4 linked regions of the Rhinolophus ferrumequinum genome follow. The protein of the gene in region 2 interacts with the protein of the main gene of each other region in a biochemical or structural test. Links are inferred from orthologs where the notes say so. Each region holds a gene or a part of one and is shown on either strand. Other genes may lie near its edges.

Evidence for each region.
Region 1: the proteins of LRP1 (region 2) and LPL form a complex in vitro, tested with the Homo sapiens proteins (3 studies listed by BioGRID). The link is inferred for Rhinolophus ferrumequinum from reciprocal best matches to the Homo sapiens genes LRP1 and LPL.
Region 3: the proteins of LRP1 (region 2) and APBB1 form a complex in vitro, tested with the Homo sapiens proteins (2 studies listed by BioGRID and IntAct, with this or other methods). The link is inferred for Rhinolophus ferrumequinum from reciprocal best matches to the Homo sapiens genes LRP1 and APBB1.
Region 4: the proteins of LRP1 (region 2) and THBS1 form a complex in vitro, tested with the Homo sapiens proteins (3 studies listed by BioGRID). The link is inferred for Rhinolophus ferrumequinum from reciprocal best matches to the Homo sapiens genes LRP1 and THBS1.

What each region holds. Positions count from the first base shown.
Region 1 is NC_046301.1:52,062,967-52,070,847, reverse strand, and holds the start of LPL (lipoprotein lipase), read right to left. Parts: upstream 3,099-7,881; 5' UTR 2,810-3,098; coding exon 2,722-2,809; intron 1-2,721. UniProt on the Homo sapiens protein: Key enzyme in triglyceride metabolism.
Region 2 is NC_046293.1:56,173,647-56,181,709, forward strand, and holds the start of LRP1 (prolow-density lipoprotein receptor-related protein 1), read left to right. Parts: upstream 1-4,963; 5' UTR 4,964-5,428; coding exon 5,429-5,495; intron 5,496-8,063. UniProt on the Homo sapiens protein: Endocytic receptor involved in endocytosis and in phagocytosis of apoptotic cells. Required for early embryonic development. Involved in cellular lipid homeostasis.
Region 3 is NC_046294.1:45,383,638-45,390,760, forward strand, and holds the start of APBB1 (amyloid beta precursor protein binding family B member 1), read left to right. Parts: upstream 1-4,033; 5' UTR 4,034-4,165; intron 4,166-4,460; exon of another isoform or gene 4,461-4,612; intron 4,613-4,793; exon of another isoform or gene 4,794-4,861; intron 4,862-7,123. UniProt on the Homo sapiens protein: Transcription coregulator that can have both coactivator and corepressor functions. Adapter protein that forms a transcriptionally active complex with the gamma-secretase-derived amyloid precursor protein (APP) intracellular domain.
Region 4 is NC_046289.1:65,322,278-65,329,439, reverse strand, and holds the start of THBS1 (thrombospondin-1), read left to right. Parts: upstream 1-4,028; 5' UTR 4,029-4,198; intron 4,199-4,743; 5' UTR 4,744-4,772; coding exon 4,773-4,839; intron 4,840-5,119; coding exon 5,120-5,679; intron 5,680-6,574; coding exon 6,575-6,650; intron 6,651-6,929; coding exon 6,930-7,129; intron 7,130-7,162. UniProt on the Homo sapiens protein: Adhesive glycoprotein that mediates cell-to-cell and cell-to-matrix interactions.

The sequences.
Region 1 (7,881 bases), on a different chromosome or scaffold from region 2:
TCTTAAGGCAGCTCAGTTATCAGATGTATAAGATTGACATTTATAAGACATGAGGTATAAGAGCTCAATTGTAATGCAATTCTCTTTGAAGTTTCTATTCTCTCTCTCTCTCTCTCTCTCTCTCTCTCTCTCTCTCTCTCACACACACACACACACACACACAACTCCTAAAGGACTCTATCCTAACTCACATCCTCTCTGAGATGGATGGGCACAGTTATTGACTCAAACAGCTTCTGTAGAATGCCAAGAAACAAGTCGAATAGATGAAAACAAAACAGTTTGGGGAGGGGGAAAAAAATCAGTATTGTTATCTGACGAACCGATTGGTCTTTTCAGGTATTCCAATGCAGACAATGTTCCTGACTTACCTAACAAGCAGATTTGCTCTTCATTTTTGTAGGGGAAAAAAAATGTTTGTAAAAATAGAAGCAGTAAACTGTATAGCCCAATTTTTCCTCCCAGAATAAAGCAAGAAAGGAGGACTGAGCTAAAAATACACTGCCTGAAAGAAAGTGAAAGTTTTCCACGTAACTCTTCCAATACAGCTGTCTATCAATCACTCCCTCACCGAGCTCTGCTCCATTGCAAGTAGTATCTGCTATTTTGCTGTCATAATCCATCATGTTTAATTCAGATGTTAGTCTGGAAATTCACTAAGTCCAGTCAAATAGAACCGCAACTACTGAGTACTGACCCATACATTCCATCTCCTAGTTCTTCCAGTTTCCTGATAAGGCCACACAGAGATTGTGGTGGCTCCAAGAACAAGGAACCTGAGGGCATTGCCTCCTATCCTCATATTCTTCTTACAATGAACTGAGAATAAGTAAAGTCAGAGCCCACAGGAGGGGCCCTTACACCTGTAGCTTTCGGCTATGAAATTCTTACATCTTAAATAAACTTATTTGGAGGAGAAAAGAAGCCGAAAGTTGCTGTGACGGGAGATGCACACTATAAAGAGGGGTTGTGTGGAGTGAGCGTAGGAGGGAAAGACAAGGGATTAATTTCAAGTCTACTTAAAAAATGATTCCTCCTTTAATACATTTACAGTCGGGAAAAGCATGTGTTTGTTAAAATCCAATTTAATTCATGAATCACGTAAGTGTCCATTTAAATCAAAAAGTAAGACTTAGAGGGGCCTATGAGAACTCTGAGTCTGGTCCAAACTCTTCATTTTAGAGTTGAGGAAGCCAAACTCGGAAAGGTGACACTGACTAGCCCAGGAATTTAAGGTCCTGAACCTCTAAGGGAGCCTAGCAAAAACTTAAACTGTGGTTGGCACATATTTGTGCGTGTTTTACTACACTATAGTGCACTTTTAAAAATAAGAATCTGGAGTTTGTTCCTACCATCTTCTTGGACAGCGTTAAATACTATCCAAGGGGAACATGCCTCCACATAAGAAGTTTAAGACTTTCTAATTGAAGCCCTGACAGAAACCGATCTGACAGAAAAGATACTCGTCTTTATTATCCAATTCAGCTTTCATGGAATCCACATTTTTTTTAACCTAACAAAAATGTTCTTTCCCACAACTCGGTACTGCGGTAAACTTTCAGCTACAGTAAAAGTCACGGACAAACTCGACTATAATTTGAACCACTGCGAACTTGCCGCCTGAAGGCGCATCCAAGCGACACCGCCCTCGCTGCAATTCCACGAAGGAAAGAGAAAAGAAAATGCTGCCTCCTTTCATGACTTGTTTCAGTTGCCTTTTTATAAAGTTGCCGTTGTATATTAGCTGAACCAAGGCTCAAGTTAAGCAGGCTGTCTCTATTGTGGGCAGGTCTCGGACAGGGGGCTGGTTCTCCCACCACCATCCCCCTCCACCTGTCTGCCTGCCCCGCACCTCACACCGCGATTAAAGAAATTTGCATCTGGCTTCCAACGCCCCCGACTCCCCGGCGATGACGAGTTCAGCCGCAGCCTCCCGGCGATGCCCCGAACGGGACTCGGCTCACAGGACGGTATGGATAGCCAAGTGCAAACCGTGCAACCCCTAGATCAGCGGCCACGTTTTCAAGAGGGTCACCCCTTCGCTAGATTTTCTGCGCGCTAAGAAGAGCGGAGCGTGCAAGAGTGGAAGGTGGGGAACTTCCGGCGCCGGAACGCGTGCAGGATGCCGCGTCCCCAGACCTCCGCTCCACGCGTCGCGCGTCCCCCACTCCCATCTGCACGCGGAGGGTGAGGGTATCCTGTGCCTCTAGGATGCGGGCAACCCTTCCTCCCGCCCGATTCCTGCTTCTCCCGGAGAAGGGGCCACTTTCTGCCCGCGCTCCCACAGGCGGGGCCCGAGCCGCAGCTGCTGCCACGCCAGGGTCACCTTGGCCTGCGTGCCTTTCATTCCAGTCGGTCACCGCCATCTGGGCCCTTCCTCCCGCCTCCCTCGTCCCGCCCCTCACACTCCCCCCGTCCCTTCCCGGCCGAGCCCGGGCGCCAGGGAACGGCCTCCGCCAGAGCGGAGGGGACAGCGCGGGAACCCGGAGAGAGCGAGAGAGCGGGAACTAGGAGCTGCCCCAGCGAGATCGGAGGGACAATTCCCTCCCCTCTCTCAGCGGATCCCGCCCCGATGACTTTCCGGAGCCGCACTCGGGCTGGAAGAGTCTCCGGAGCGCATCTGCACCCGCTTCAGACTTTCTCGTTCGAATCCTCACCATGCGTGGAAGTGGCCACTGAGCCGAGTTTACAGGAGGAGCGGAGTGTGCACGCAAAACTTACTGTCGGCGGCGGCCAGCCCTCCGCGGGAGGCAGTCAGACTCTGGAGGCACACGCCCAGAGCCACCAGGAGCAGCGCTTTGCTCCCCATCTCGAAGCGCGTCCCTCTCTGTAGGAGCTACAGGTCACGGGAAGAAGCGCGGACAGATTGATGGACCTCGGAGCCCGAGGCAGGAGTAGGCTGGAGCCGCGGTCCGGCGCCCAGCAAGTCGCCCTTTAAAAGGGAGGGCAGGGCAGCTAGAAGTGGCAGGTTTCCTCGGAGGAGAAGGAATCGAGTCTGACACTGTTTCCACTCCACGGCTACTTATGTGACTGGAAATATGCAAATAAACCTCATCACCTATTGGCTATAAAATCATAAGTTGGGGGGAGGGCCCTAAATTCACTTCCAAATATTTGAGCAAACTGTAGTGAGGATCAACCCTGCCAGCGAGAAGAGGGGGAAAGGGCAGAGAGAAATTTTGCTTTCACTGTGTTTCCTACTTGCTTTTCCTAAGGGGTCTGGCTCTCCAGGGCCCCCTGTACAAGCACCAAACACAGGTTTATGTGGATTTATATTAAATACTCCGCAACCACCAGTTTTCCACGGAGGACAAGTAAAGCTGTTAAACTACATTTGGGATGCTTAAACCCACTCCTCTTTTGATGGACCCTGTTTGTAACTTGCAGGGTTTTTTCCCCAAAATTCTCCCGGACAATATCAATTTAGGGATCCACAAACACACGGTTTTCTGCAGCTTGCGCTTGAACAATCTGGTATGTTAACATTGGCAAAATGGATTAGCTGATGTGGTGGAGAAAAGCCTTCTTGCTCTGATTACTAAGTTTTGCCTCGTGCAAATTATACTCAAACCCATCAAAGAATGCAAGTATAACATTTTATTCTCAGAGGCAGAATATTGAGGTCAAATAATTTAAAACTGTATTGTTATGCAAAGTGAAAGAAGCCAGTCACAAAAGACACGTATTGTACGATTTAATTCCATTTATATAAAATATCCACAAATAGGCAAATCTTATAGACAGAAAGTAGATTGGTGGTTGCCTGGAGCTGGAGAATGAGGTTGGGGGTGGAGAATGGAGAAGTTTGGGGGAATGGTGATGAAAATGTTTTAAATTACGTTATGGCAATGGTTGTACCACTGGGTAAACATACTAAAAAAACATTAACTTGTACATTTTAAGTGAGTGAACTTTATGGTGTGTAAATTATATCTTAATAAAGCTATTAACACAGATGCATTAAGGTATGTAAGTAAAAATAATAAGAATAATGAAATCACGTGGGAAATTGTTTTTTTGTTGTTTTGTTGTTTTTGTTTTGTTTTGTTTTGTATTTTTGCCAAAATGCTCAGAATACTCTCAAATGTCTTTTTAAGTATAAAGGATTTGCATTAGTCAGAAAGGACAGTTTAACTCTATACTCTTCACTTTATATCTGAGAAATAGATTCAAAAATAAAAACCTTCAATTCACTGTCCATATTGGATTATTTCTCTGAACATCTTTATTGCTTCCTTTTACTCATCCCTCCCTCCATCTCTCTCTCTCTCTCTCTCTCTCTCTCTCTCTCTCTCTCTCTCTGTCTCTCTCTCTCTTTCTCTCTCTCTCTCTGTCACACACACACACACACAATCTTCATTTGTATGTTAGAAGGATGAAAGTCCATATGATTTAAACGAGGCTCACATTTAAAGTTTTTCTCAAAAATGAAATACACCTGATAATACCCATATAATTCAAAGTGTGTTATTCTATAGAATAGAATTCTATTTTTAAGTTGATGCATTAAATGGCACAACACAATATATTGTCCTGTATTATTGTCTTGCAATTATTGAACAATATGTTGTGCACATTCATCTCACAGAGCATGTGGAGGAATTTTGAAACCTGCCAAGAATTAATCCCCTCAAAAGAACTTTAGAAGTGGCAAAACAGACCATGCAGGTGATGAGTAACTATGATGTGACAGTCCTCCAAAAATTATATAGTAAAGTCTAATTTTAAAAAATGACACGAGGTGAGTACAATTGTGTGTGGTCAAGGTTTAAATGACATATAAACAAAAGTGCAAAATGCCTACTATCTTAAATAAAATACTCATGCAGTCTATTTTCACACATTAATTTTTTTTTAAATCATTTGCTAAGACAACCAAACCATCAGCACTTCTGTGCCTTTCAGAGAACTGCAAGAAGATTGCCTGAGGGAAGTCTGCTATATGTTTAAAATGATTTCTCAAGTTAACAGATAACAAATTCAAAGCAATCAAGAGTTAGAGTAATTCTTCATATATATGAATATGAAATATACACATGAAACCGGTTTTGGCATGGCCTCTAGTGTTACACTGCATGTGCATTCGAATTGCAGAGATTTCCAGGAAGAATTAACTCACAGCAGCTCAGCCTGTTGGAAAAAGCAGATGGATTGGCTCCAATGCGAGGGCAGGTGGTGGGCCGGTGGGTGTGGCGGCAGCGCGCTCTCCTGATTGGCTTTTCTCGGAGCGATCAGATGCCTGCGTTCTCGTGCAGAGGCTCACATGACCTCCAAGTCCAGACTGCATGTGCGTTAGCGAGGCGCCTCATCCAAGCTTCAGCAAGGTTATTTGATCACCCACACCGTGAGGTATGACGGTTTCTGTAATTGACATTTCCTTTGTAACAGACTTAAAAAGTTTCAGTTTAAAAGAGGCTAAGCTTTTTATAGATGTTCAGCAAACCAGTACTCATGACTGGACGTCTTCTCCTCGTATGAGTTTAAAATGACGTAAGTAGAAAGTTAATTGTGTATACCTAAAGAGACTGCCAGAAACTCCAGAACTCCACATGTAGGGAAACTCTCTCTCTCTCTCTGTTTCTCCTCCTTCCTATCTATCATCTCTTTCTATCATCTATCTGTCCTCTATCATCTATCTAAGTATCTATCTATTATTTAGATTGAGGGCTTGCTATTTGCACACACTGGGCACTTTTCAATCCTTTCTGTATGTAATCATTACAAAAACACGGTGAGCTTAATAATATTCCCATTGTACAGATGAGGGAAGATAAAATTCAAGGAAGATTAAATAACACTAACCACAATTCATACAGTGTTTTTTTTCTTTAGTGATCCCAGAAAAGGAGGAAAATGTATTTGATGTGTTATGTTAGAATGTTGCTGTAATTGCAAACCGGAAAAGCCTGGGAAGCAGATGTGTTTTGTACATGCAGAGCTATGATGAAATGCCTGGGCTCTAAAAGAGCATCAGTACTGAAATGTATCTGGTGTCTATCGCAAAAATTATGTTTAATGTAGGAAAAGAGCATTACTGGTACAAATGAAATTTACAAATACAAAATCATAAATATAAAAAGGTTTTTAAAATATTTTGACTTTTAATAAGAAAAAAACAAAACCAAGATGTTTACTAAAAATTCCCATAGACTTTTCCACTGCTACCCACTTATATCCTGGCCTTAAACTGTAAACAAGGAGGAGCGCCAGCTGTGTCCGGATGGAGATGGGATGTGACAGGGTGGGGATAAGCATGAGGTCATAGCTGTAGGAGCTGCCCTACTGGGTAGTTAAGTGGAGCTATTGATCTTGCAGGCCTCTTTGATTCTTTACCCAACAAAGCTAAATTGAAAAAATTCCAAGTAGCAGTTCAAGGGACAATTAAACTCAGAGGGAATATAGTTCTCCATTGATAAAGTTGGGTGTCCTATTCTGGAAAAGTTAAAGTACAAATAAATATTATATTTAGCCAATTTGTTACTGTCTCCTTCCTTCACCCGGTTTGCTTTGGGGGTGAAGGAATTGTGAGGTGTGGAGAGAACTGCTTCAAATAATAAAAGTGTGTTGTTAAATAATCCAGACATATTCTAAGGATTTTGGTTTTCTTGATTTGGGGATATTCATTCCCTCCCCTCTTCCAAACACAAAAGAAACAAAAAACAAAGAGAAAGAAGGAAATCATATTTTAATATCAGAATTAAAAGATTTGTCTAAATAAAGTGAAGAAAAATAAAAGATATACAAATTTTTTTAAAGTGAATTTAAAAAAAAAATAGTGTATTGCAATGGCCTGTCCTGGAACAAGGCATTATGGTAAGGGGGACACGTCAGAACATACCAGAGAGACAGATGCTGTCACAGAGAAGCTACAACAGGCCAAGGGGGAGAAGGATTCCGGCCTTCCCTAGTAGACAGCTAATACAAACTAAAAAGAATGTCCCACAGATAACCTGGATTTATAATCCATGTTTATTTATAAGTAGCTTTTTTCTCCTTCCCCCACCAAAAAAACTTAAAAACTTAAGTTCTCGAAGGAGACTTTCTATCAGACCTAGTTAATGACTTTACTATGCAAGACCATGAATGTTTTTTGCGGAGGGCTTTATGTTCTGAGATAACTTCAGACAAATCATCAAAGCCCTAGACTGACAGGAGTGGACCTGACTCTCAGCACAGACATGTTTGAAGTGCCCCCTGCTGTCTTCCTAGGGACACTGTAACATATCAAAAAAAAAAAAAAAGTATTTTAAGGGGTTTGAAACAATTGACTTGAGTAATCATTAAGCTCTTGTATTGTTATTGGAACTTTTCTTGTTTCTTTTGTTAAATTATTTATAACAATGAAGGAAGGTATTGCTCTTCTCACCTCTGTGGTACTTCCCACAGCATCAGACTGAGAAGTTAGGTGGTTCTCAGTCAATAGTTGTTAGGTGAATTAATAACCCTGAGTAAAAGATGATCCAGTGCTAAGTGGGAGAGAAAGCAGGATATTATTTTATTTTAAATTTTCACTAGATTTAGTAATTATGAAACTTGAAGACACACCACACACACACACACACACACACACACACACACCCTCCTTGCCATGATCTAGTCTACTTGGACCAAATCTATCCAGTTAGGGAAATGGAGGACAACTTCATTTGACTGAAGCTTTCTGTTGGCCTTATATACTTCTCTTCTTCCTTTTAATTGAATTTGTCGTTATAAAAGCTATAATATACTCTTGACCAAAATAAAACCACAAAAGACAAAATTTCAAGCAGTACAAAATTGTGTGCAAACATAAGTCTTTCTCTAACTGCAGACTTCCAATGCTCTAATCTCTCTCCAGAAGCAACTAGTTCCCTTTCTTGTGTATCTTTCTAGAAAAGTCTA
Region 2 (8,063 bases):
TGCCGTTTCTAGTTGCAGGGGACACAGCCCACCATCCTTTGCGGGAGTCGAACCGGCAACCTTGTGGTTGAGAGGACATGCTGCAACCAACAACTGAGCCATCCGGGAGGCAGCTCAGCTCAAGGTGCCTGTGTTCAATCTTAGTTGCAGGGGGCAAAGCGCACCGCAAGGGACTCGAGGAATTGAACTGGCAACCTTGTGGTTAAGAGCCCACTAGCCCATGTGGGAATCGAACCAGCAGCCTTCGGAGTTAGGAGCATGGAGCTCTAACTGCCTGAGCCACCGCCGACCCTCTGAGCCATCTTGAAGTAATTTTTGCATATAGTGTGAAGTAGAGGTCAAAGTTCACTTACTTCTCCCATATGGACAGTCAGTTGTGCCAGCACCATTTGTTGAAGACAGTCCTTTCCCCAATGGATTGCTTTGATATCTTTGACAAAATCAAATGACCTTTAAGTGTGAGTTTATTTCTAGCCCTCAGTTCTGTTCCATGAGTCTGTTTGTTGATCCTTATGCCAGTACCACACTGTCTTGATTACTGTAGTTTACAACTCTTGAAGTAGTGTAACTCTTCCAGTTTGGAGGTTTTAAATTTTAATTTTATTATTGTTGTTGTTGTTATTATTAGTAGTAGTAGTAGTATGTAGCATTGGGATTTTAAAAACTCCCTGGGTGACTCTAATGTGCAGCCCAAATTTGAATACTTTAAGAACATTCTAATGTGAGCCAAAGTTTCCAGACCCAGCTTTCTCTGTCCCTATCCTCTAAGGCAATATGATAAACCAATTAGTATACTTGATTATACCTCCTTAGAGGAATCCTCTTCCTCTCCAGCTCTCTGGCTGATGTATTAGGGACTTCCTCAATTTTTCACCTGGCTCCCCACTGCTTCTAGGAAAACAAAAATCTAAATTCTTAGTGTGGCTAAAATCACCCTTTGTATTTAGGCTCCCTGATCTTCATCCATTACCCTCCCCAATAAGTACTTTAAACTTCAGTCATATCATATCAGTTATTCCTCAAATGTTTTAAACTTCCTCATGCCTCCATGCCTCTGCCTGCCAGCCTAAAACACACTTTTCTCCTGTCATTGCTTGTCATTTCCTTCTTTTCTTTCAATATGTAGCCAGGCGTCATTTACCCTGGTCTGCTTTGACCCCCTTATCTGGAATAAGTATCCTGCCCTGGTTCCCATGGCCCTCTGTGCTTGCCTTTATCGTAGGCATTAAGGTACCGTGTTGTAATTGTCAATCATCTTGTTGTACGGCCCCACTGATCTGTATGCTTCTTGAATGCTGAGACTACGTATTTCTACCTCTTGTCCCTACTGCCTAGCAAGGTGCCTCGCACATATGAGGTACCTAATAAATGTTTATTCAGTCTATGAAAACTGGCCTCCAATCTGCATTGTGATTTGGGACAGATTCCTTAATCTCTCTGAGTCTCTATTTCCATATCTACAAAGTGAAAATAACACCTTTTCCACAAGGTAGTTATGAGACTCAAGTGAGCTAATTCATGTAAAATCCATTGCGTGGACCTGGTACATGGTAAGTGCCCAATAAATCTTGGTTCTCTTCCCACCTTTCCATCAGACCTGTCAGAGACACCCTCCCATTTACACCTCTTTAGTTGACCACTAGGTGGTGTCAGTCTCTGGCCTGCCATTCAGTCCCAGAGCTGCCCCTTAATGCCCCATTCCAGTGCCTGTTACTCTCAGACAGGAAAAGGAGATGGTTAATGATTTGCTGGGAGATCCAAAAAAAAGGAGATATCCTCTCCCACACCAACTTCTTTGCCACTGTCACCATCCTAGGTATCCTGATTATGGATTGCAGAGAAATCTTCCTTGATTTCCCACTATTCTCCATACAAGGATTTGAAGATGGAAAAAGCTTCTTAAGAATAGAAGTGGGAGAAGAAGCTGGAGACAGAGAGGGATTGCATAATGAGTTACTATAGAAGAAATATGGAGAAGATGCTTACAGTCACATCCCATTTGACAGGAATTAATTTTGATTGTCTCCTCAACCAGCACAGGTCCTCCCAGTCCTAATGCTCTTGCCAGCATCCTCACCATTAATCGAAAGCTCCTAACCCTGGGTGGATCCAAAGAAGTAAAAGACATAGACATCCCTGCCCTTAAGGAGTTTATGGTCTGGTGGTGGACATAGACCCGGCAAAATTAGGTGCTAATGTCTAGGTACTGAGGCTATCTTTTTTTTTTCTTCAAGTTTTTTATTTAGTTAAGTGTGTTTTTCCAGGACCCATCAGCTCCAAGTCAAGTAGTTGTTTTAGTCTAGTTGTGGAGGGCGCAGCTCACAGTGGCCCATGTGGGGATCAAATCGCCAACTTTGTTAAGAGCACAGTGCTCTAACCAACCTAGCTAACCGGCCGCCCACTGAGGCTATCTTGAGTGCCAGTTCGGAACAGGAGAGATGGGCAGAGCGAGAATTAACAGGAGAGCTTTTCTTAAGAGGGTAGGGAGGAGCTGGGAGAACAGTATAATTAAAGGCTCAGGTAGAAATATGCAATCTTTCACCTTATAGAGACACCCTCAGCAGTTTACATACTGGAAATAACCTAAGTGCCCAACAACCCCAAAAAATAGTGGAGATTCCAAGTAGCCAATATAAAGAGTGAGCTAGATGTGTGTGTACATTATGGAAAGGGATCAAGACAGGTTAATTGAAAAAACCAAGTTACAGAACAGTATATATTGTATGAGCTCATTTGTGGTTTTAAAGGATGTTTATATATATTTATCATTTAAAAAAAAATCTTTTGGAAGGAGAACCATGGAACTCTCAGTAGTGGTTACTGTGAGGGTGGAACTGAAGAATGGGTGTGGAGAACAGCAAGTTTACTTTTCACCCTGTACCTTCCTATACTCTGAGTTTTTTTAGCCACTAATTATTACTACTTTTTATAACACAAAGTTAATAAAAATAAAAACACATTCACATTCAGGAGCTAGTAAGGGTTGGGAGGTAGCAAGTGAGAAGTGTTGACATGCTGTCTGAGGTCAGATTTTGGATGGCCATGACTGGGAGAAGAGTTAGCATTTGATTCCGTTATCTCCAGACACCCAGTAGCGGTTCACCAGCCAGGAAGAGACTAAACAGGGAAAGCAGATTTAGGAAGATTCAACTGTGTGTAAGGTAGTTAGCAGGGAGAGAAATGAGACTCCCCCTTCATAAGTTTCATATGGTCAATCCAGCTAGCTTTTTCCTTTCAAAGCTGTCTGAAATCTGTTTCAATCTGATTTCACTTGGACCACAATATTGGGAGTCCTGAGAGAGGAAGGAACCTAGGAGGCATTCATTAACAACATTTAGAGCGTCCCTGCCATGTGCCTGTCGCTGTGTTAGCCAATGATGGTTGAAGAAAAGGATGAGTAAGTCCCACCCCTGCCTGAAGAAATTCTGCAGTGGAAAATGGAGGAAATCTGAGCTTTATTTCAAAGGAAAAAAATAACAGACCTTGAGCATAGCCTTGCAAGACTGGATATAGTTGGCAAAGAGTCTGAGGTTTCTAGCCTGGGAAACTACAGGCAGATGGCCTTGGCCCTGAGCAAAGTGAGCCCAGAGGAAGCTCTGGTTTGGGGGAAAGGTCAGGTTCCCTCTGGATTCCTCCTCACTGCCATCAATTGACAAGTCCTCCATGCTGCTCTGCTTTCTGCCAGAACTGACAGGAGTGAGGACTTGGGGCCCTTCCTTGACTAGAATTTTAAAAGGGAGAGCGTGGTGCAACCCTCTCTCATGCCTAACCGTCAATTTCTGGCAGCCAAGGTCGCCTGCTGTCTCCCTGAACTCTGACTTCAGACACCAGAAAGACAGCCAGGGTACAGCCTTAAAACGCCGCCCAGAAGGGGGCAGTGGCCAGAAGCACATTCACCGGGCTCTGGAAACAGCCTCGCCTTCTGGACTCAAAGTAGCATTCCCGTACAGGCTCAGAGCCGGGACAAAGGTCCCGCACTCATTAGACATCTCCTTAGAACTCCGGTCCAGAGTCCCTCATCTTATTCCAAATCCCTGTTTGCTCGGAATCTAAAACCTCGACTTGGTGAGAAGCCAGTCAGAAGGTATAAAAAAACAAAACACCAAAGAAAAAATAATAAATGAGCCCCTACCTCTTGGGGCGAAGTGGGGTGGCCCTTCCTCAACCCCACCCGCTGGTGACTCACCTCCCTCCAAACCAGAGACTGCCCCTCCCGCGCCCGATGCCAGGCGACCAGGGCGGGGCGGGCGCTAAGGTGGGCTCCATCTCCAAGTCCTAGGCGGGCAGACAAGCTCCGGCGTGTCCCCGCGGGTGTCCCTGTTTACTCCGAGCCCTGGAGCGAGGTGGGGGCGGGCCCTCGCGGCCCCTCCCCTACCCCGCCCCCCTTCGCCGCAGGCCCCAGTCCTCGTCCCAGTCTTACGAAGTCTCCAAATCAAAGCTCAGCCTTTCCCTGTATCTTCCCTGCAGACTGGCGGCCCCTGCCCCCACCCCAGGCAGGCGAGGCACAGTCCAGGTTCTCGGTGGAAATCAGGCCTCGGCCCAGATTTGGATCCCCAGGTCTTGGATCCCCAGACCCCGCCTGAAATCCTAGGGCATGACACCCAGTTTCAAAGAGAAGCCGCTCCGCTCTCCTTGTCCACTGCCCAATCCCCCCATGCCCCTTCAGCAATCTGCAGCCTGGGGAAGAAAGTCCCAATTAGGGGAGAGGGCGCTCTTGGCCCCAAATCAGCTAGCGACGCCCAGATCCCACCACTCCAGAACCGCTGGCCAGAGCTCCAAATCTCGTAGCTGCTCAGACAGCCCCCTCCCCAGGGCAGCGCGCCAAATCTGCGCATGCGCACTCACAGGACTGCCGCGTAGCTCTTTCCCCCCTCCCTTTTTCTTTCCCCGCCCCTTCTCTCCCTCCTTCCTCTACCCGTCCCCTCCCTCTCCCCCACCTCAGCCCGCCCCGCGGCACCTCTGTCCGGGGAACTGTGGTGCGAGCTCCAGGCCCGTGCACTGAGGAGGCGGAAACGAGGGGAGCCCCCAGAGCTCCATCAGGCCCCTTCCAAGGGCTCCCCCACCCGGTCCACGCCCCCCACCCCCCACCCCGCCTCCTCCCAATTGTGCATTTTTGCAGCCGGAGGCGGCCCGGAGATGGGGCTCTGAGCTTCGCCCAGGGAGGGGGATAGAGGAGCGAAGAGAAAAGCAGGGGTGTGAAGGGTTTGGATTTGGGGGCAAGGGGTGCAGCCCCATCAACAGACCTTCCCTAAGGGACTCCGAACTCTACCTCTTCACCCACGCCCCTGGTGCGCGTTGCGGAGGGCTAGGATAAGAATAGAGGAGGAGGGGGAAAGGAGGAAAAAGGGGGACCCCCCAATTGGGGGGGCGACGGCGAGAAGTAGCAAGACCAGAGGGGAGGGGGCTGCTGCTTGCATCAGCCCACACCATGCTGACCCCGCCGCAGCTGCTGTTACTGTCCCTGTTCTCAGCTCTGGTCTCGGCCGCTATCGATGGTGAGTGAGATTCTGCGGCCCCCTTGGACCCCTGGGGACACCCACTCCCCAGCCCCCACTCCTGCGTTCGGATGGGGAAGGGAGGCGCGGGAGGGGGTGCCTTTTGTTATCCCAGTCCAGCTGACACCGCAGCGGCCCAACTGGGGGTGGGGATGGGGGTCCAATTTGGAGGATGAGGGCCCTGGGCAAATGATGCTTCCGGGGGGGCCCCCCAGCCCAAACAAAGACCAGAGGCCTGGGAATGGAGAGGAGGGTTCCCCCTTTTTCTGATCCCGGGATCCAAAGGCCTTCTCTTCCTATCTCTGGTCGGGGAGGGCCTCCACCTCCCTTACATCCTCCCCCCCTCCACCCCCATCTGAATTGTGAAGGAATCCGGATTTGCAATGTAGGGCTCCAAAAGGGGGTGGAGGGCCTTTTGCAGTGGCCTCTAAATCTGAAAGGGAGAGCCAAGTCAGGGGTGACCCGCTAGGCAGAGGGCAGTCAGGCCCAAGAAGGCTGTGGGTAGAGAGGGAAGGCCACGGAGAGTGCCCCCTGCTTGGGTGTGGAATCGGGGCCTGGGAGACCAGGCTTTGAGGCCTGGGTCCAGGATCCAGATGGCTGCCCGCCTGGGTTCCGAAGTGGGCACTTACCCCCTCTCAGAGCCTCAGTCAGTAGCCTGGATAGGGCTGTATTGGGGAGCAGAAAAAAAGCAAGTGATGCTATGTGACTGAATTTTTCTTAATTCCTGGGAGCTGTGAAATGAAAAACGTCAGATGTCATCGCTGGGGAAGGGGACTGGAGAATAGTCTGGAATGCTGAGGTGGGAGGGTAGAGGAAGGCTGCTTTCTCCCTGACTTCTGGCTTGATCACAGTTTGGACTAGAAGGAGAGTTGGAGGTTGGGTGGGTGGGGGTTATGGCTATGCTCCCACCCCCCAATTCTCTGCTCCTTTGGTAAATGTGTATTTCTCTCCACCATTTCCCCTCCTGCCTTCATATACACATATTTTGTATACTGTAGTTAGGTTTGGGCTAGAACTCTGTCCTTTTGGGGATATGGGGTGCCCCTTCTCCCCTTTTTATGTCAGCTATTTTTTCTCTTACTTATGAGTCACTGGTTCAAGTCTTGCCCAAGCTGGGGACACAGGGTTGGGCTGGGCTGGGCCCCTGATTTGAGAAGCAGTGGGATCTCATCACTTCCCGTCATTTTAGTTCTGTCATCCGGGGGAAAATGGCCTAATACCATCATGCACCCCTCCTCCATCTTCTAAATTTTGCCAGGTTGGGATTGGGAAAGTTTTTCTCTGAAACCAGATTATCTCTCCCTCTCTTTCCCTCCTCCCAAATTGCTTCGGTTGCAGGAGGGAGGTTAGGGGTTCAAGAAGTAGCTGTGTCCAGAAAAACAGCGTATTCACTGGCCCTCAATTATGCCATCTGGGGGACTGTCTGCTCCTCCCCCCCGCCCCCTACTACCTTAATTATCTGCCCAAGAGGAGGAAAGAGGATCTGCCCTGAATATCCTCCAGACCAGCCCTCACAGCCAGCCTTTGCCCATGACTTCCTCTCTTTTGCACTTTCTTTCCTCTTGTTTTCAACCCTGTGAGGTGGGAGGGGAAATCGAGGCAGAGAGATTTGGGTATAGCAGCTCCTAGGAAGGATAGGTAAAAATATTTAAGAGAGAAAGAGAAAGAGACCACCAGGAACCCCATGTCGAAGGATGGATGGAGTTAGAAGCAAGGGGGGGTGAGTCTCTGTGGAGAGCAGCAGAAAAGTTTCCCAGCCCAATCAGGGATGAACCCAGTCACGTCACCCCCAGGATTCTAAAACAGTTCTATTTGCCACACCAAGTTGGTTGGTGGTAAATGGAAGAAGGAGACTGAACGTGTCCTCCTTAACTGTCTCTACCCTTTCTTACAAATTTCACCCAGTCCACAGCTGTAACCCCAGCTCAAACCAACTGTATCAGAAGTCCCAGGGAAAGGACCCCTCCCCAAACACACACTACTGTTCTTACCTTGGGACTGGAGATATGAATCATGGGTCTCACCAGGTTTGGGGTGAGAAAGGGGAATTGCACAGATCCGTAGGGCCAGTGCTATCCAGGTAGCCGAGGGGATTCCGTTATCTCTACCCCTGCCCTCGCACCCCAAGCCCACTGACAGAACTTCCTCCTTTCAGAGAAGAAAACCCTTGGCCCCAGTTTACCTGACTTAGTGTCTAACCTTCCTTCCTGCTGCTCTGAGGCCTGGTTGCTTTCCCTCCAGAGGAGCAGCCCTCAGGACCTGCCCCACTTCTTCTGCTTTCACTGCTATTCTTGAACCTACCCCAAGATCCCCTTCTTTTTGGGGGGCAATGTCACTTGCCGTGAGTAGACAGAATTGAGTGTGCTTGATCGCTACTGGAGAGGATGGGGAAACAGATGGAGTGTGGAATGGGAAGAGGGTTTATTGAGGACTCTGCTCAGATTAAGAACATTTTGTAGTGAGGAGGGCAGCGCCAGGCAGATGTGGCTCAGACAGAGAAGGCGGACTGCCTCCTTTCCTCCGCCTTCCACACACCCCCTTGAGCCAGTGTATTACCAGTTAGCAGAC
Region 3 (7,123 bases), on a different chromosome or scaffold from region 2:
CAACACACAATATCTGCCACATGTATTCGTCATAAGTCTGGTTTGCAAGTGATAAAACCCAATTCAAAGTGGTGTAAGCAAAAAGGAGATGTATTGACTTATGTTACTTCAGGCAGAGGTAAATATAAGTGCTAAAGTGACGTTATCGGGCGTCTGTCTCTCTCCCTCCCTTAGCTCTGCTTCATTCTCAGGCAGGCTCATCCTTCTTGGTGGCAAGATATCCACCAGGCGTACGTTCTACCAGCACTTCTTGCCCAACAGTTGCAGGAAAATTCCTGGATCTGATTTTCACTGACCCAGATTTAGTCATGTGCCCATCTCTGAATTGATCACTTTGATCTCATCATGGGTTAGGAGCCTAACACTGAAGTGGGTTGTGGGACCCACTTCAAATGATTTCCATTTGAACCACATAGACTTAGAGTGGTGAGGGGACGTGTCTCAAAGAAAACTGAGGTGCTGTTGCCGGTAAAATGGGGAATGGATGCTGCGCAGATAACAACAGCAAACGCAACAATATGTTCATGACAGGATAATACCTATCTTGTAAGGTTTTTCTTCTTTTCCATGCAACCCTCCGTCCCTTCCTCAGCTAAACACTTTGAAAATATTGAGGTCACTAGGCATGCAGTACCTCAACCTCTTGCCTGCTCCCACTTTATTAATTACCCCATCTACACCCGTGTCCTCACGCCTATCCCTTTAGCCTGTAGAGTTAAGGTTTCCAGTTCTCCTGGTGAGCCCTTGATCCCACCTCCTCTCATTGCCTCCAGGGTCTTGCTCCATCTCTCAGATGCTTTTTTCTTTACTTTCAAATTCATCTTCTGCCCTGGTACCTTTTTGTAGTGTATGCCCATGTTCAAGTCTCTACCACCTTAAAAAGAAAAGACAAATCAGAATCTTTAGCTTCATATCACTTTTCAATTACTGTCCATTCTTTCTTCCAAATTTCTCAAGGAGGCATTCTGCACTTACTAAGTCTACTTCCTCATTTTCATTTGCTCAACTCATTGCATTATGGCTTCTGCCTCCATTTTCTGCTGATACAGATCACATCCTGGGTATCCATGGCCTCCATGTTACCAAATTCAAAGGATACTTTTTGCCTTGACCTTATTGGAAATCTTTGCTGCATTAGATGCTGCTGACCACTTCTCCCTCCTTGAAAATCTTCCCTCCCTTGGATTTATTCCATGACACTACTCTCCCCTGATTCTCCTCTTACTGTCTGTTTCTTCTCAGTTTTCTTCTTTTCCTCTGCTGGTTCCCCAAATGTTGGCATTCCCAGAGTTCAGTCCTCAGTCCTTTTCTCTTCTCACCTTATATGCTCTCCCTGGGAATGTATTAAAATAGTCCTGCCAAAGAAGGATGTTGAAGAAGTCCTTGCCAGACCCAACATCTGACTTATAAATTCCACTCCATACATTATGTGGGAAGATTTTACTCCTTATACATTTTCCAAATGATAACAAACACCCAGAAGAAAGAGGGTTTATTGGATCAACTACAAGAAAAATTACAATACCAAAGCAATACTTACATGTAGTGGTAGAAAAAGCTACCTTTGCTCCACTTCGTGACTTTGCTCCTAATACAGATGAAAGCTCTATTCTTCCATATAGGTGACTTGGGTGCCAACTTCCTGGTAATGCATAAAGCCAGTGCTCTTGATTAAATGACTCTGAATGGATTTGCTTCTAATTCAAGTTTTTCTTGATAAGTCCAAGGGAATAATATTAAAAGATTCCTGCCTCAGAGGGATCTACATTGGTTAGAACAACACACAGCATCTGAGGTGGTTCATAAGCTATTGTTTACTCCTAGGCCATGGAGAGCCTCAGAAGGGGGAAGAGAAACAAGTAGAGAAAGGATGGATGAAGGGCACAGGTTGACACCCATTGATCAGGAGGCGTTGCAGATCTCCCCCATTGAGGAGATCAGGGATTCAGGAAGACGGTGTGTGGGTCAAACTGCACTGTGTGTGAACTGCACATTTTCCTTTTGCATCTTAGCTAATTAGTCTACTCTTTCACACCCTGACCATCCTATCTGTGTTCCTCTGGTTACCTGAAGAGATTTCCCTGGATATTGCAGCCATCCTGCCCAATGGGGTTGGGAAGACAAGTATACTGATAATATTTCTGGCTTTTTATTTGCTCAAGCAGAAATTTGGAAGGCATCCTTTCCTTCATACTTTCATAGCCAATCAGTCAATTGATCACTGATTTCTATCTCCTGAATATTTACTAAACCCATATAATTGTTTCCATCCTCGTCCCACCACTATAGTCATCTCCCACCTAGACTATATCAATTGCTTCCTAACTGGTCCCTGCACTGCCAATTTTGCTCTCTTCCCATCTATTCCCCACTTAGCAGCCAGAAGTGATCTTCTAAAATGCAAGGGACAACATGCCACTCCCTTGCCTCAAACCCTTTGATGATTTTCCATTGCCCTTAAACTAAACTTTAAAACCCTCAGCGTAACATACAAGGCCCTTCTTGATTTGGAACCTACCCACATTTCCAGCTCCACTTATGCCATGCCTCTCCGCTATCACCCATACTGGCCTTCTCGTACTTCTCCTTTGACTTGGAATGATTTTCTCTTCCATGGCTGACCTCTATTGCCTTCACCCCATTCCCCTCACATAAGTGCCACTTCCTTCTTAAAGCCTCCCCAAATCTCCCCAGGCAAAATTTAGTCCACTTACCTAGCATCCTGCACATCTCATTCAAGATACTCATCACATTTCTAATCACGTTTAATGTGTCTTTCCCCTGTTACTTAAACTTCAAGAGGGCAGGAACTGAATCTTGTTTCTTCATGTGTGCTTAGCACCAAGGACAGTGTCTCACACATAATAATTATTAGTCAAAAGAGAATGAATAAGTGAATGAGGACACCTTTCTTCTCCTGGGTAACTCTTACTCATTTTCCAAGGACCAGGATCAGATGTTATATACTCCAGTTTGGGTTACAGTCAAATCGGATTCATCTTTGGATCCCTAAACTTAGCTCGGGACCTGGTACATGGTTCATACATATATCATAGAGGTTTGTCAAATCATAATAAACTCTTGGCCAGGAGTTGATAATTGTTGAAACTGAGTCATGGGTATATGAGGGTTCATTACACTGTTCTGTCTCCTTTTGTATACAGTTGAAAATTTCCATAATAAAACATTAAAACATTTATATTCACCTTAAGTCAAGTGAAAGTATAGTCAAAGACGTTCTTGAGGCTTCTAGCTTGGGCAAGCCAGTAGATGGTGGTGTCATTCTCTGGGATGGAGGAAGTGGAGCTGCCTCTACTCTTGTGTGTGTGTGTGTGTGTGTGTGTGTGTGTGTGTACACGTGCGCGTGCATGCACATGGAGTGTGTTGGGGAGCGTTCTTTTTCACCCCAGTGAAAATTCTTAGAAGGCCAATAAAGGGGATGAAATAACGAATTTCTATTTGGGCACCTTTAAGTGTTAGAAACCTGACGGCACCTCCAGTCAGTTGCACAATAGTAGCTACCATAAATGAAAACCTCTGCCTTAAAGGAATGAGCCATGAGAGGGTTTCAGGATGGTAACAATCCCCTCATGATCCTTGGTGGCCTCTGGGCCACTGATCTGACCACTGGGAACGATGGCACTATCCAGGCAATCTGCAGTAAACACTGTGCCCCACTATTCCTTCCTTCACACTTTTCACCCATTCTCCCCTTCTTCATTACCTCTTATGTATTTCTACTGGGGAGCGATTTATTGACACCTGCAAGGCCATGGTGTCACAGCTTTATGTTCAGCAGCAGGGGTAGGGTGTCTAGAAACATCTGGTTCCAGTCTGAGTTCACCACCTTGTGACTGCAGGCAAATCTTTTTACCTTTCTGAATCTCAGCATCTGCCTCTGAAAAATGAGGATAACAATAGCGGCGATTTCACAGGGGTCAGTCTGACGCGAGGATGAATGCATGTAAAGGATTTAACACAGAGCCTGGCACAGTGTAAGCGGTCAATAAATACGAGCTATTATTATCGCCAGCGCTGTGTCCTCATCGCCTCTCCACCAGGACGCCCGGGAGTGCTGCCGCAAGAGCGGAGCAAGCTGCCTTCTCGGAGCCCTCCCTGCGCAGCTGCGGGCTGGCCCCGCCACAGCCACCCAGGCTCCTACCCGGTGGGTGCGTCGCCCCACGGGGGTGCGGGGCGGGGCCCTGCCGGCGCACAGGGCGACTCCGGGGCCTCGGGGTGGAGGGCGGTGTCGGGCTGGGTAGGGGTCGGCAGACGCGTGGGTAGCGCTGTGGGACCCGGGAACCCCGCGCTGGCGTAGCTGCTGGCGTGAGGCTTCCGCGGTGGGCTCACAGAGGCCGCAGGGTGGCATTGGGTGGGGCCCTTCGGGACACTGCGTCCAAGTGCAGCCCCGAGCGGCTCGCGCTCGCGCGCCCGCGCTCGGCCCAAGATGGCGCCCCTCCCCCCGCCCGCGCGCGCCCTCGCAGCTCGGGGCGCGGCCCCGCGGCCCGCGCGCTCCTGGGCGGGGGATGTTGTGATGGAGAAGCCGCCGCGGAGCCCGAGCCCCGCAGCCTGAGCCACCTCCGCCACCTCGGCCTGGGGCCTCCCCGCGCAGGTAGGAGCTGCCCCGGCCCGCGCCCAGCCCCGGAGGCCGGATCCCGACCCCCAGCGGCCCGCGGACTGCGCAGCCCCTTACCCGTGGGGGCCCGGGTACCCCCGGCCAGGCCCCATCTCCGCTGGCAGTCCTCGCACCGCGAGCATTCCCACCATCTCCTGTTCCCCCACCTCCATTGTAGGCTCCACCTCGGTCCTCAGCACGGTCATTCCGGACCTTTACCTCCTGCCCCTCCGGGATGAATAGGGGGCAAGTATTGGAGACGCGAAGAGAGGGGCAGTGGGGGGTGGGGGATGGGGGATGGGAGGTGAAGGGCTGGGTAGGGGACGTGGGGTGAGGTAGGCAGAGGCCGCACGTTTTCCTGCAGGGTCCCAGGCCTGGAATCTGTCAAGCCGCATTCTGTCGCTCTCAGCGACCGAAAAGTGTGCTCTGGGGCCGGCTGTGTCCCCAGCTCTGCCAGGAGGCCTAGCACTCACAGAAGCACTCATTAGGAGCAGTGTTCCCACCGCCAATTCAGAGGTTGTTCCGAAACCTATTTTGAATCTGCCTGTGCATTTCTTGCATTCCAAACCTTCCAGCATAGCCCCAACTTACACCACTCTTCAAAGACAAAACCTTGTCTACACTTACTGTCTTCATTTCCTCACTTCCCATTCATTCTTAAAACCGGTTCACTCTGTTTTCTGTCTCTCATACTCAACTGAAACTGCTCAAGCCAAGGTCACCTGAGACCTCTATGTGGCCAAGTCCAATGCACACTTTACTGTTATCCCCTTTACGTTTTCATAGTATTCAGTGGTGTGTGTCAACTCTCCTTGAAACATTTTCCTGGTTTCTCTCCTGGCATTGTCTGCTCCTTCTCAATCTTATTTGATACCTTTTTCCTTTTCCTTTAGATGTCAGTGAAGCTCTTAGTTCTGTTCTGAGCTATCTTCTTTCATTCTGCACTTTCTCCTGGGTATTTTATTCACTCCCAAGGCTTCAAATTTCATCTCTCTATTTATCTATATCTATCTATATCTCTATATCTCTCTATCTCTATCTATATCTATATCTATACCTATAGGTGATCATACCTATACCTATAGGTATAGATATATACATAGATAGAGATAGAGAGATATAGACATATAGATAGGTAGAGATATAGATATAGATAGATAGATAGATATAGAGATATAGATAGATATAGATATAGATATCTGGCTCAGACTAGATTCAATATCCAACTGCCCTCACGACATCCTCTTGGAAGTCCAGCAGGAATCCAAACCTATAGATCCCAAGCTGAATTATCTTCCCTATGTTCCCTCTCTAGCCTTCTTCCAAATCTGTTCTTTCTTTAACTCTCAGAAATGGCTACTTTCTGATCAGTTACCTAAGCTGTAATCCTGGGCAACATTCTAGATTAACCTCTACTCCCTCACAGTCTACATCTAATGTTACCGAGTCCTGTCACATCCTGGTACCTAAATATTTTTCAAATGCATTCATTTTACTCCATCCCCACTGCCACCAAACTTAATCTAGGCCACAATCATTCTTTTCCCCTTGACTGGTCTAATAGCATACCCTCTTGCCTACCTCCCTATAACTACTCTCAACACAGTATGATCCTTTAAAAAATGTATCTGTTTGTTCATTTATTCATTCAACTAATATGCTTTGAGCACCTAGTATATACTAAATACTGTGTTAGGCACTGAAGATATAATTATGAACAGAATAGATTGGTTCCTTATCCCCTTGGAGTTGACAATCTGGGGGGGGCGGATTAAATAAGAATAAAATTACAAATTGTACTAAATACCATGAAGGAAATGTGGATGGTGCCCTGGGAACACAAAAGAGCACAAGCTAAACTGGTCTGGCGGGTAGGGAGAGAAAATCCAGGAAGGCTTCTCTGAGAACGTGACATTTGAACTGAGGTAAAATATGAGTAGAATTTAGTTAGGCTGAGAAAGTAGGGGAAGGAGGTTCCAGGCAGAAGGGAAATCAAATGCAAACACCGTGTGGAAAGAGACAGCATATTATCCTTGAGGAATCAAAGAAGGCCGATGAGGCTGGAGAACAGAATGCCAGAGCTGGAGAGATAGGCAGGGATAACTGAGCAGGACAACTGAGGCCATGTTACAAATTTTGGTCTTAAGGTCTTTGTTCTTGGTGTGGATTGTTGATGGTAGTGGATATGGAGAATAGATCAAATCTAGAAATATGTCTCAGAGAGAAAATTGTCAGTACCTGGAGATGGATTAAGTATAGGGAGTCAGGGAGAAGGTAGTGTCAAGGATGGTACCCCTACCTCTGGTTTGCACAACAGAATGGTTGGTCATATCATTCCACGATCCAGGATCCTGAAAGAGGACCACTTAGTGGTGAGTGAGAGAAACATGAGCGTGCATGTTTGAGAGGCCTTTGAGACATCCAAGTGGAGATGTTGAATGAAAAGTTGATATACATGTGTGGAGCGCAGATGAGGGGTCTGAAATGGAGGTGTAAATTTGGAAATCA
Region 4 (7,162 bases), on a different chromosome or scaffold from region 2:
AGTTGTATGAATTCCTTATATATTTTGGATATTAGCCCCTTATCAGAGGCAATGCTTGCAAAAAATCTTCTCCCATTCGGTTGGTTGTCTCTTTATTTTGTTGATGGTTTCTTTAGTTGTACAGAAGCTTTTTAGTTTGATATAGTCCCATTCACTTATTTTAGCTTTTACTTCCCTTGCCTTTGAAGTCAAATTCATAAAATCCAAAAATATACAGTGAAAAAAAGACAGCCTCTTCAATAAATGGTCCTGGGAGAATTGGAAAGCCACGTGCAAAAGAATGAAACTAGACTGATATCTGTCACAATGTACCAAAATTAACTCAAAATGGGTCAAAGACCTAAACAGAATTCTTGTTCATGTCCAAATGAAAATGTTGAAGACAGAGAAAGCCTGGTTTCACATGGCTCCTTCTTAAAAGCAAGAGAGAACATTTCCCCGAAGCCTTCAGCACACCTCTCATAGGCCAGAATTGGGCCATGATAATTCCCAAATCAGTCACTAGTTGGGAAGTGGGAGGTGGTGGTAGAGAAGGTAGTTACCCTTAAAGTAATAGTTCTACCCCTTCCCACGGAGATCAATTTGCCGAGTATATGCTTCGATTCTGTAGGGAGGAGACAATGTTTGGGAGTCGATCACCTTATCCACCCCAAGAACTAAGCGTAACTGTATGAAACGGTATAGCTGGTTAGGGAAATGGTGAGTAGTTCAGTCCAGTCCTTCTGTGCCATAAATTGACTTGAGCATAAATCACTTTGGAAATTCAAATATTAGAGCTCTTCTCAAGCCCGAGACTTTGGGTCTTTACAATCTAGTCCTTACACATATGAAAATAAAATTGATTTTTAAAAACTAAACAATGAAGAATGGAAGGTGATGGGTTATGTGGCAGAGATAACGTATGCTTCAAATTTCACAGAAAGAAGAAGCAATGCAACATAAAGCCACTGGAGAACATCTCGTGAAGGAGAGAGAGCTGGAGCTGGTGTTCGATTGAAGGATAAGAAAAATCTGTTGGTAACTTTTCTCTGGCTCTGACCATGGAGGCAGCTGAACTAAAACAACCATGAACCATGATGTAGGGAAAATAGTCAGAGGGAATGAATTTATGATGTCTTCATTTTAGAGATGCTGTGATTTGGGTCTATTCTAGAATACAGAGAGTTTTGGTTGCTGCTCATTTCTATGAAATTTTCCACTGCTGAACATTTCCAACATGTTTTAAAATCCTTACATAAAATCACAGCCCACCTTGCTGTTCTTTGCTAGATAAACAAAATTTTTTCTCAATTATCTTGCTCTCCTTAATTGCAATTTTTAAAGTAGCTGTTACTGGCAGTCCTTTCCTTCTATTTACTGGCAATGTTCTTAGGTCAATCCCATATCCAATTAGGGAAACTTGGAAAAAGGAAATCCTACAGTGAAATGCCATATGCCTTACAATTTTATGTTAAATAAGTAATCCTCAAAGACGGCAACTTGGCAAGGAGAGAAGTGGATCCTCTCCCTGGAAGTCCCATCACTTGGGTCTGTATCAGATTATTGGCCTGAAGTCCCAGCACTTGTAGGTTAAGGATATATAGTAGGTTAAGGATACATACACACAAGAGGGATGATAGCCCCTGTATTAAAAGTATAGGTTTTCTTTCCTGTTTTCCCATTCCTCCTTCTCTCAAAGCTTCCCAGAGGTATTTAGGTTTCTTGGGAATATTTTCAGCACACATTGACCAGCAGCAATGTTGGTCAGACACCCACACAGCTGCCCAGACACCCTGTAAACTGTGATCCTTCTATTCCAACACAACAACTAGAGTCCTGTGACTTGGGGAAGGCCTTTGTATTTGAGATAAATAACTCCCGTACCTCTGTCAGCTTTCTCTGACAAGATGGCTCTTCCTGCCACCATACAGGTCACCTTCCTATTTGTAAAGCATGTAGAAGGTTAAAATTCTTCTCGTTGTGTTGAAAGAAGCTAAGTTCCAAGAAAACCCCAGATGCATTCCTATAGTCCCTTAATCAATGAAGCATCTAGCCAGGAGGGGCATTCCAGTGAGCTTCTACTCCATCCCTGTGGCTAAGCCTACGGGAGATGATCTTTTTCTAAAAGGAGAGATGTACCCTGCTTTTGTGGACCTCGAGCCCTCAGCTGACCTGTATAAAATTAGCACGTGTGCCAAAGGAGCAGGGGGCCATCGGCTAGCCATTCCTCGGAAAGCTGTTCCTAAGTACCTAGTCTCATGAAGAATTAGTAGCAAGTGACCAAGAAAAAAAAATCACTTTTCAAGGAGCGAACAGAATGCTAGCAAGAGAAGGAAGGGGAGGGACGTGTATGGCTGCTGACTCTGGAATCTTCAGATCTGTTTGGATGAATCATTACTTATGACTTCCACGACAGGAATCTGATATGACTAATCATCTGATAGAGACTTTTATTTCTGTCTCTCAACATGTGAAATCTATCTGACTGTCAGGTTTAGTTATTACTTAAGCAACAAACAAACATGTGTCTTAGGAACATACTTGTCATCTTCTAAAGCCACTTGATGTATATTGAGTAACTGGAAAAAACTCACTCCACAATCCACACACACATGCACCTTGTCACACAACACTCCCATACAAGAAAAGTGAAATTGCTGTTTGATGAATGTAAATTCGTGGGTGTTTCCAGCAATTAGGAGTCCTGCCAGGTGTGAGTGCTAGGAAGGGAGGTGAACCCCAGGGCTTTCCCCAGCCTGTGGCTGAGATCCTTACTAGGTGAAGCTACTACCTGCCCCCGTGTCTCAGGGCCAGCCCGATAGTGCTGGGACCACAGCGTGGAAGGGTGGCTGCTGACATCCCAGCCCGAAGAGATGAATGGAATTCCAGGCAGCTGGAGTCATGCTGGCTTGGGACAGTGGCTTGGAGACCAGACTGCCAATGACAGAAGTTTTAAGTGGCAGCATTCATGGCAATTGGTGCACCCACAGAAATGTAACCCACGCCTCGCTTTCAGGAGCCGAAAAATGAAAAGAACGTTTAGGGAGCGTAAAAAGGAAATAAAATAATAGGCAGAGGGTAATTTATTATTTTATGGGTCTGTTCTGTAAATAGTTTAAAACCTGGAGCCAGATGGTTCTGCAAATTATCCAACCAGGAGTCACGTTAAGAAGCACGAGTGGGCACAAAAACTGTTTTTCAAGACACAATTTCAGTTTTGGCTTCAGGGAACTGGATGCGAGTTTCTTTAATATCCCTGACTAGAAAGCTGTCCTCTCCGTCCCCTTGATCACAATACGCATACCTCCCCCAAGCGGTAAACTGTGGAAGCGCTGTAGCAATCGGGAGGAGAGACGTTCGCGGGGACTTGGGCGACAGGAGAAAGTGTGCCCCGACCGGCAGCGGGAACGCGAGCTCTAATCACTGCCCTGCGGGCCGGCATGACACCACACTCACCTCCCCGAGTGGGTCAGGCGGAGGGCAGAAGCGAGACGGCTCGAAGCCGGGCGCGTGGTCCTCCACCCCACCCGGATGGATGGATGAGGGTCAACAAGCACACAAGAAGGAACTTCTTTAAAGATTGGTTCTCTCTTGGTCACATTTATCCTATCGGGCTTTTTTTTTTTTTTACTAACGGGCTCGGTCTCCCAGTGTGCACCCCTCAGCCATCGCCCTGGCGTTCAAGGAGACGAGTTTGTCTGATAGCCCCCTAAGGGTCTTGGATGGGTGGCTGAAGCCCCGTCGCTGCTCGGGATGCTTACCCTGAACCCATTGGCGGCGTGGCGCAAGAGCCAAAGTGCTGAGCCCGCGTGCGCCAAGGCCGCGTGGGCGGGCACCAGGTTTTCTGAGAAGTTCCAGGGCCCTCGGGCCCCGACCCCTGCCTCCCCCTTCACTTTCTAGCTGGAAAGTTGTGCGCCTAGCGGCGGGGGGCGGAGAGAGGAACCCAGACTGGCCCCCCTCCCGCTTCCTGCCCGGCCGCCTCCCATTGGCCAGAGGAAGGCCCAGGAATGTGAGCGCCCCTTTAAAGGCGCGCGGCTCCTCCGCCTCGCCAGCCACTGCAGCTGAGCCGGCGGGCCCATCCGGAACTCCTGCGAGCTCTCCCTACCCGGCCTCCGACTCCGGCCGAAGCCCCCCCAGGCGCACCGCGCTCTCCAGGACTCGGCGCCGGACGCTTGCACCCTCGCCGCCACTCCGGGCCGCTGCGCCCGTGTGCACACAGGTAAGGAGTCTCCGGGCTGCCGCCTAGGAGCAACGCTGCCCTGGCCATCCACCTGATGCTCCGAGGATCCAGCCCCTCCGGGGCTCCGGAGAGCAAACTCTCCCCCTTTGCCTTCCCCATCCTGTCCCTCCCAGCCGCTGGGGGATTCTTCTCGTGGTAGGGCTCCAGAGCCATCCTCTCCAGCCTTGGGGTTCACAAACCACTTGTCAGGATATCCCAAGTCCCTCTCTAGAGAAAAGTCTACAATACCCTCCCGGCGCCCCCAAACTACATCTCCTGGTCCTGCTGCTTACTCTCCACCTCCCTAGGACAAGACCCCAGATGTCTGGTTTTTCCCCCTCCCCATTTTAGAATCACAGTCTCCTGCTCTCAAATCTCCTTTTCTTCCTGATGCCCTCTCCAAAGTCAATTCTGTTGTCCCTCATTCCAGCAAATGCGGGGCCATAGAGAGATCCCCAGGTACCTGGCCCTATGCCCATCCCCCAGTTACTGCCCACCCTCCCTGCTTTGCTGTCTCTTACCCTGGGCTCTGCTTCCTCCTGCAGGCTCCCTGCTGGGCACAAACAGTTCCACCATGGGGCTGGCCTGGGGACTCTGTGTCCTGTTCCTGTTGCATGTGTGTGGCTCTAGCCGCATTCCAGGTGAGTCTGTATAATACCTTTGAGGCGGGAAGGAAGAGGTGGTGGTGCTGGTTACCCCAGGTGTGCTTTCCTCCCAGCTCTCCTTTCCCAGCTGTTTCTCCCTGAGCCCCAACTGAACACCAGGAGGCAGGTTCCCTCTGACTATGGTGTTTATTCAGCTTTCAGTGGTTGCCAGGAGTTTTCACCCTGACCTCTGGCCCCACCCCTCAGAGCTGAGGCACCCCCACCCCCACCCCGGGTCCCATTCTAGAAAGCTCACAGTGTGTATTGCTCCTAACAGAGTCTGGGGGAGACAACAGCGTGTTCGACATCTTTGAACTCACGGGGGCTGCCCGCAAGGGGTCTGGGCGCCGACTGGTGAAGGGCCCCGACCCTTCCAGCCCAGCTTTCCGCATCGAGGACGCCAACCTGATTCCCCCCGTCCCTGACGACAAGTTTCAAGACCTCGTGGATGCTGTGCGGGCAGAGAAAGGTTTCCTTCTCCTGGCCTCCCTAAGGCAAATGAAGAAGACTCGGGGCACACTGCTGGCAGTGGAGCGGAAAGACCACTCTGGCCAGGTCTTCAGCGTGGTCTCCAACGGCAAGGCGGGCACCCTGGACCTGAGTCTGACTGTGCAAGGGAAGCAGCATGTGGTGTCAGTGGAAGAAGCACTCCTGGCCACCGGCCAGTGGAAGAGCATCACCCTGTTTGTGCAGGAGGACAGGGCCCAGCTGTACATCGACTGTGAGAAGATGGAGAATGCTGAGCTAGACGTCCCCATCCAAAGCATCTTCACCAGGGACCTCGGCAGCATCGCCAGACTCCGTATCGCAAAAGGGGGTGTCAATGACAATTTCCAGGTGAGGCCTCTTCTCCGATTCGTGGTCTGTGTGGGTCACCTGCTAGCCAGCTGACCTGTCAGGAGGGCTCTAGCAGGAGAAGCAGAGGTTCCCGTACAGGAAATACTGCCTGTGGACTACAGCAGTGGTTGTCAAACTTTAGGGAGCACCAATATCACCTAGAAGGCTCGTAAAACTCATACTGCTGCACCCCACCCAGTTTCAGATTCAGTAGGTCTGGGGTGGGCCTGATCGTTTGCATTTCTAACATGTTCCAGGTGAGGCTGATGCTGGTGGGGGGTGTTTTGGGGAACCACACTTTGAAAACCACTAAAGGAAACAAATGGTTTTTCTATAGCAGCCTGTTCCAGCTTTAGATACTCCTTATACTTTTCTCAAGAGAATAACTTATTTCAAATGCATTCAGCCAATTGTAATATTGCTTGAAATGGATACTTTGTTCTAGCAGAATAAATACCACTCTGCTATTTGATCCCTCATGGGGATGTAGCTGGTCTCAAATAAAAGGTTAAAATAGTGGTGATTTGCTGCTGCAGCTTCTTCCTCGCTTAAACTTCTAGATCTTTGCAACGGGGGCTTTGAAACTCCCACATTTAATTCTTTGACACTAGAGAGTGTCATTATATCCTCTGGCCTTCGTTTCCATTTCCTGTGTACCCAAGTAGGCTGATAACTGAATTCTTTGTAAAATACTGAAGACTTGGCAGAAGATACAATTAAGATTTTGAAGTTGTCTGGCAATTTATGTTGGTGTGTTACTTTGACATGGTGATCTTAAAAGGGAGCTCTTTCAAACTTTTAGAACATCTATTGTGTGCTCTTCCTTGCATAAACAGTCTCTCCCACCCACGTAGCTCTCCCAGCACTCCACGGGTAACGTGTCCTCTGCCCACAGGGGGTGCTGCAGAACGTGAGGTTTGTCTTTGGAACCACACCAGAAGACATCCTCAGGAACAAAGGCTGCTCCAGCTGTGAGTACCCTTCTGTTTTTTAGGGCCTATCGGGAAATTAGGGGAATTCCACCCAAAACAAGCTGAGACATTTAAGCAGTGTTGGTTGTATATAAATTACCCTGGGTAGCAGTTCAGAGGTATTTAAACGTGACCTTAAAGGCTATTCCACACACATGTCCCTTTTACCTGCTGCCTACCTCACCCCAAATGAAATGTCTTTTACAACGAGGAACTCAGGCTGGCCGATGAGAGCATCTTCCATTACTTTTCTCATTGTGATTATTTGCTTTGTGGCAGCTACCAATGTCCTTCTCACCCTTGACAACAATGTGGTGAATGGCTCCAGCCCCGCCATCCGCACCAACTACATTGGCCATAAGACGAAGGATCTGCAGGCCATCTGCGGCATCTCCTGTGACGAGCTGTCCAGCATGGTCCTGGAGCTCAGGGGTCTGCGCACCATTGTGACGACGCTTCAGGACAGCATCCGCAAAGTGGTCAGTGGCCTCTGCTCCCATCCCTTGAGCATG